Linked DNA regions of Drosophila melanogaster. The protein of the gene in region 1 interacts with the protein of each later gene in a pairwise test. Each region holds a gene or a part of one and is shown on either strand. Other genes may lie near its edges.

Region 1 (3,760 bases):
TCTCAACCCAAAAGCAGATTGCACAGTGAACAAAAAATCAGGTCTTTGTCAAATATATTATAGAATATTATTCTAAATAAGTAGTATTTCACTTACAAAAACATATTATATTGCCTTCTGTTTACTGCATTCACTAAGGATATTCATAAACTTTATATATGAGTATATTTAAAATAAAGATCGTTTTTTAAGAGGTATCTAGGGGATTGTTAGTGATCTATGTATTTCACTTGCATATTTATTAGAACCACTTTATTTTTCTGCACTTGACATTTCAACATAAAATCGCTGAATTCCGTCGGAACGAATTAGAGATTTTCCAGGTAAAATAAAGCGATTTAAGGCCAAGTGCAACTGGCCAACCCAACCCAGTAAGCAACTCGGCCACTTCGGCGACCATTATCCATTATCCATTATCCATTATCCATTATCCATTCCCCCCGGGTAGAACCCGCAGTTTCGGATAGGTCAAGTATATGCGGCACTTTATGGGCTTTACGAGTGTAAAAAAAAAGCAAAAAAGCAAAAGATTGAGAAGAGAAAAGAGCTCAAAGACAGATACTTGCTTATTTCTAGAGGCTGACCAGAGCATCTTTTTCATCTTTTTTTTTCATATATATATATATATATATGTATATATATCTACTTTTTTCACCAGTTTCGTATATATTTTCGCTGTAGTTTTTGTTTTTTGCCTGTGGGGCCAACAGGTTCGCTGGCAGTTGGGAAAAAGTCAAACGGCTCAATAATCGAAGACGACGGCTCAGAGTTTTTGAGTCCGCGACTCCGAACTTCAGCTCTTTGAGTCCAGATAAATGAGGACAACAACAACAGCGACAACTTTAAAGAGGTTGTGCGTGTGCCTGTGTGTGTGTGAGCCAGCTGGGATAGGCACACTGTGCGAAAAGAGCATGTACTACTTTGTTCTAATCAAGCTAGGCAGGTCGAATTCAAATTGATTTTAGCACGTTTTCAATTTCAAATGCCACATAATAAATATATTATTATGTTTAAATCTTACAATTTTCAACATATTCTATTATTTTCTGTGTACTCCATTCGAATTAAAAAAATCAGCGAAACCAAAATAAACGAAAAATCAGACAGCAACAAGAAAAAAAAAATACGAAAATATTTTAAGCCCAACGAAAGAATAACAAATGAATGGAAATATTTGCTCACCTCTTCCTTTGGTTTTTAGTGCCTTGTAATCGCTGTTGTTGACTCTTCAAATGTGTGTGTTTTTATATTTTGTAAATTTTCTTGGTTTTTTTTTTTTTTTTGATATTTGTTTATTGCTTGCCCGCTTGATGTGGCTGCATTATATTTCAGCTGTTGCCGCTGAAAGCCAACGGAAAGCAGGCAAGTTTTCAAATTTGCACAATGAAATTGATTTTACAACGCGTAAAATTCCACAAATTATGCACGAAATGCGTTTTGAATTGCACTCAGCCACCACACTCGAAAAAAAGGCTGCCATTCACCGCTCGCCGCGAAGCGTAGCCCAAACCCCCCCAAAAAAAAAAAAGAAAAACTAAAAAAAAAAAACCGTTGCACGCCTGCGCTTTTCAAAAATCTTCCCAGTTCGCTTCGAAACTTTCATCCGCAACGTTGGCCCTCCGTCGACGACTTTCGCGTTCCAGCGCTCAAAGCAAACTGAGCTGCAGAGCGTCGGAATTGGAAGCAGCGAACGGCGACTGCGACGCGACTGCGGCGCGCCGGCGATCAGAGATGAGAGCTTAGCTTTTTTCAAAAGCTTATAAAAAAAAGAGTCATCTTCGAAATGACATTCTCATTCGATTGCAAACGTTTATGTGTACGAATTACTTGAAAATTGAAGAATATAACTTGTACTTTAGAGATTCATGCAGTTATTTAACTTGTTGGCTAAGGATTCAATCACTTTCATAAGCATATTTTCCAAAAGATCAATGTATTGTGTACTAAATGTAGTAGCTGTTTCTCATACTCTTTACTTTTTATAACTTATAATTATACTAATTATGCTTCTATTGGTGTTATGACGTACAGTCAGCACTGATTGCTTGCGAATCGGATTGGCAATCATTGTCGCCGTTCTTTCCGGTTTGCTGGCGTTGCCACAGCGCTGCAATTAAGCGGCTAATTCTGATTTTGGATACCGATTCGGATCCAGACTTGGGATTCAAACATATGTATAAACATATATGTTCGCGGCAACCGCATTAGTCCAAGTCGCAGTCGCCGCCTAGGTTAATTTCCCTCAATTTTGTGGCTTTTCGCATATAGGTTCATTGCTTACATTCATAGATACACAGCGAGAAAATTGTATTACTTACAGATAATTCTTTAAAATATTTAATAGTATTTGATATTTAATAGTATAGTATTTAAAATTTAATAGTATTTAATATTTGGTTAGTTTCTTCACTGGAATATATTTGAACCTTAAGATTTCTCAGGAGGAAGGATTTTTATACCAAGGATTTTTTAATTTCCTCTGTGTAAAACACACTTGGCTACCTGTTGCACACACACACACACACACAAATTCTAGTAATGGCCGTCCGCAAATTGACCCATAAAATTGTAACGTTGCTTGAGCCAAGATAGTTTAGCTGTCCATATATCACTGCAGATACACGACACTGGCCTACAAAAGAACACTTTGATAATTCCCCCCGATGTGCAGTGTTGAGATGGTAACGTTTTGTGCTTAGCCGACTAAGATGATCTTCTTAATATAGAAAAACTAAACTTCAAATCTACCACTTCTCACTGGCCTGTTAACCAGTGCTATTTGGTTGAGAAGTCTGGAACTCAGTGAATCGGCAGTTGTATCCGCGAACGCATAAATAACCATCCGTGGCTATATGTTCGCTGTTGTCCAGTGGTACACCTTCATCGTGTCGATCGAGGTGGCGATCAGATTCTTCGATTTGCATGCCAAACAGCCGGGAACATCGCTAGCTTACTACGAGTATATGCATCCGAGGCATGCGATTCGATTTGATATCCGATCGCCGGCGGCGATGGCCACAAGGTTATCCCCTCCCACGGATCATGGACATCATTAGCTCATTCGTCACGATCGCAATGGGTCCTAGAACCAACGATGGAGTACTCGTAAGTGAGAATCCATGGGTCATTTGGAGAATTGCCCAGATCCAGCAATCGCAACAATAATCATTCAATCCACAATGAGCCCATGAAAAGTTTGGCATTTTCATACAGGTTCTTCTCTTTGGGAAATTGCTTGTTGTATAAATCAGCTCTTTAGGAAACTCTTTTGAATTTGTGATTATATAACTGTGTAATTTTTATTTGGAAAATACCTTGTTATATCCATACAACAAAAATATTAGACAAATCATAATGGATAAAACTTTTGATAGCCGTTTTAAACAAAATTATGCATTGGAAATATTTTATTTTGTTTGATCCTTTAATCACTTTAGGTTCACCTTGATTTCGAAGGTCTTGTAGGTGTATTCCTGGATGACTTTCAGATTCTTAATAATGAACTCCTTGATGGCCTGCACGTAATCGGCGGCGGCCAGGATGAGCTTCTTAAAGGCATCGATCACCTTGCCCTCGCCCTCCAGACGACCCTTGAACTTCTCCTCCGACACCTGGGCAATGAATCCCCGCAGTCCCAGTGCATTGGCCTGGACCAGTGCAAACAGCTCGAAAGCATCCTTGGGCACCCTGCCACGCACCTCAAAGTCACAGCACAAGATCTCCTCCTTTTGGCCTGCCATCTCGAGTAAGATTGAATTTG
Region 2 (3,760 bases), on another chromosome or scaffold:
CTGGGCCAATGGTTCGTTCTGGCAGTACACCACATGCTTGTCGAAGTCCCGCTCCAGGCGCAGGAAGGTCTTGGCCACCATATTCGGCTGGTTGCTGTAGCACTTGAGGCCCTCCTTCAGCACGCTGAAAATCCAAGTGTTAACTTCGTGTACTCCAGTTCACCCCATTCGCTTCTTACTTGTTGTGAAACTCGGCGATTTGCAGGAAATTGCAGAATATGATATCCTTGTTGTCCCGCACGGAGCGCGGCACCACCGGCTTGTCGATGCCCTTGATGTACTTCTCCACCACGTGGAGCAGATCCCTGGAGAACTCCTCCTCAGTTTCCACCAGCTCCCTGAGAATGGTTCTACAACGGCCATTACAACTAGTATCTATCTGTCCAACTGGATGGAGTGAGTTGAAGTCCTTACAGTTTCCTAAACTCCGCATCGCCGCTCTCCTTGCCATTCGAACTGCTCATGGTGGGATTGAACTCTAGTATATCGATGGGCACCCAGCCTTCCTTGGGGGAGTCCCCGCTATCGAACATTCGCACAAAGCATCTGGAAAACTCACTGCACTAGAGTACCATACCACTTCTCGATGAACTCAATCGCTCACCTTGACTTTTCGGATGCCTTCGAACTTATCAGTTCGACCAGATCCCCGCGAGAAACGCTGATCTCGTCCGTGGCCAGCGACTGAGCCTGGTAGTCCCGACTCACAAACACGATATCCGCCACCTGCTGGGTAGAACCGATATCTTAAGTACGAACTTTCTTTTCTATAGCTACTCTCTTGGTTCACACACACATTTCTATCACCCATTTCGATACTTCAACACAAAAATATATGTACATATATCCCAAATAGATCGTTATAGATCTGTGAGTTTTTTTAGGGTTTATGCAATTGGTGCGATATCGATTTGATCTTTTGACGCGTTCGACTTCGCTATTTCACAAACAAAAGTGGCTGAGCAATATTTAGCCCGCTAGCTGAAAGTCTATTTTGCGTTGACATAGACACGCGGGCTCGGCTATTTATTCCGATGTCCAATTTTACTGAGTGCAAAGCTTGTGCAGCCGAATCAGCTGATCCCCCGATTTGTTCCCTCGAACAGGGCTCTTCACTTCGGGCCAATGATCCGAGACCACAGTGGAACCACAGTGGAACCACAAGATGGATCCTAACCCACTTCGCGTCAGAGGTGGCTTTCACTTTCGAGAGGAAAATATCTGTGCACCGAGTATAAGATACTATTAGGGTCCTTCGGTTTTAAGGTCACTAGTATCATCATCTTGAAGCACTCAAACTAAACTAAATAAAATTGCACTTTTATTCGTCACTAGCTGGTTAACCAGTTTACATTCACATTTTGCAGTTGGAAAAAACCATTGACTAAGTGCTATTTCCTAGCAAGGACGTCCACTGTAGCTTTTGCTCACACAATGTATGTACATATGTACATCTGGTTTGCCCAGAAGTATTAATAAGTAAATTTGGCACATGTTCATAGAGACCGATCTATAGTGTATTTTCCGGACACGCATAACTTACGGCATCCATTCCGGCTGATTTGAATATTAAGACTTTGTATCACTCGATTAACTCGACTTCACACACTTGATTAACTCACGCACATTGGCACGAATTCGAAAATGTATTGCATAACTTATTACTGGGGCGATTTCGTTTCGAATTTTCAATGCACTGGATTTGCACTGGATTTAAGGCATTATCGGCATTAGCCCAGTATCGAAAACTACGAAGACTAGTCTACGGGGCACTCTCGAGTTCGCTTGTCATAACTGAAAAAGTCGAGGAATTTTCCGCCTTTCCGCGGGCCAGGCCGATTCAAAAGTGGAATAGATTTAAATTTAAACTGCGGTCGCGTGAGAAATATTGGCTACTGCGTGCGGATACCAATGATTCTAACTGCATCCCGACAACTGTACGACTGATCGATATTCGCCGATCACAACAAAAGCTCCCCTCGAACATCGTTTCACAATTTAAAAATAATGCCCATGCCCATGCACCTCGCACTCGCCATCCGCATCCCCATCAGTATCTGCAAATGCATTTGCATTTGCATCTGCATTTGCATCTGCATCTGCATCTGCATGTGCATAGCCATGTGCTTAGATGCCGAACAGAGCGGACGGTCTGAAAGTTTATGGCTGTCAGAGGAGTGCATATAGATTTCGGCACCCAGAGTGCGCCAGCATACATATTTAATTAAGTATTATAATATATGCGCGGGCACGAAGTTATTTATACGATCCCATACGTTATTCGCAATGTTTATGGTCAGAAATATTGGCTTGTTTAATTAATTTGCAACTGCACTTCCTCCTGTCACCTGTCAGCAATGTAATCATAAATAAGAGGAAATTGGCCTACAAAGTTGAGATTAGTCACCAATTAGACCAACACAAACGGGTAGTTAGTAGTAACACCTCCTTCAACTGAGTATTTATGCCAATGCTAGACTAGAGCTTTCCCTTTAGGAGCTTTGTTACTTGTTAGAAGCATCTTAATCTATTCTAGACTTTTTAGATTACTACTAGCCCGCTAAGCCTAAAACTAGGCAATCCGAATGAAACATTCACACAGCTTCTAGGGACTAATGGGTTTAATAGTAGTTATAGATAATAAGTTATGGTAATCAGTGCACTCAGTGGTAGCCAACAGTTTCCCTGGGCAGAAAGACGCAGGCTATGGAGGCCAGCAGGCCCACGATTGCGTACGTGGACATGGCCTGAATTCTGGACGAGTCCATCAGCACCTGCGCCACGAAAGGGGTCAGCATGGCGCCGAGTCTGGCCAGCACGGAACAGCCCGAAACTCCGACGGATCTCAAGGCAGCTGGGTATATTTCCGGAGTGTACACATAAATGGCCTGGAAGATGCCGGATATCGTGCCGCGTGCAATGAAGAGGGTTACGGAAGTGGAGAAGCGACTAGGATTGGAGGAGGATTGGATTGATTATCAGATGATCAATTGAGTGTGCACCACTACTACCTTTCCACCGACATCAGCACCAGAGTGCACAGAACCAGCGCCAGGTACTGCAGAACAATGGTTTTCTTCTTGCCAAACAGCTTGACCACCTTGATGGTCAGCAGTATTCCAGGAAACTCGGACAGGGTGATCCACAGCAGGTCCATAAAGTCGGAGGTCATGAAGGTGACGCACTCATTGGGATGGCTCTCCTTGTTCCTGGCCACCAGCAGCTCGGTCGTGACCAGCACCAGGCCGTAGTAGCAAAAGGCCGAGGCCAGCCAGAGGAACCACAACAGGATGGTGGTCCTGTACAGGCTCGGGCTGAGCAGGGATCTAAAGCTCTCCGCGCAACTGGGCTCGTCGTCGGCCATCAGCCGACCCATCAGCATGTGGCGCTTGTTGTTGTGAGCTATCTACAATCGTAGGTTTTTAGACGTATAATCACTCCATAAAGTTACCACTCACCTGTTCCAGAACCTTGATGGCCTTATCATTGTGACCGTTGTAAGAGTAATAGCGAGCCGATTCACTGAGCCACTGTAGTGATTTAAAGATACATTTGATTAAGGATATTTCTGAAGAGAGCGAGGAATACGAACCGGCGATAGGATGGTAAAAATGAGTAGGGGTGTAGCCGAAAGGGCCAAGAGACCTCGCCATCCGTAATAGGGATACACAACCAGTGCTAGGACCACTTCAAAGCAAGCTCCCAAGGCCCAGAAGCACTGAAACCAGTACAATATATTCAATAAATACGTTTAGCACAC

What was found.
Region 2: the proteins of CG15365 (region 1) and Obsc interact in a two-hybrid assay, tested with the Drosophila melanogaster proteins (one large-scale study listed by BioGRID).

What each region holds. Positions count from the first base shown.
Region 1 is NC_004354.4:9,066,326-9,070,085, forward strand, and holds the start of CG15365 (uncharacterized protein), read right to left. Parts: upstream 1,659-3,760; 5' UTR 1,183-1,658; intron 1-1,182. Other genes in the region: CG10970 (uncharacterized protein), read right to left, coding at 3,429-3,740.
Region 2 is NT_033778.4:24,012,310-24,016,069, forward strand, and holds the start of Obsc (obscurin), read right to left. Parts: upstream 1,946-3,760; 5' UTR 1,553-1,945; coding exon 1,544-1,552; intron 730-1,543; coding exon of another isoform or gene 727-729; coding exon 605-726; intron 547-604; coding exon 415-546; intron 351-414; coding exon 180-350; intron 125-179; coding exon 1-124. Other genes in the region: CG4324 (uncharacterized protein), read right to left, coding at 2,664-2,949, 3,012-3,406, 3,459-3,530, 3,593-3,718. UniProt on the Drosophila melanogaster protein: Structural component of the muscle M line which is involved in assembly and organization of sarcomere.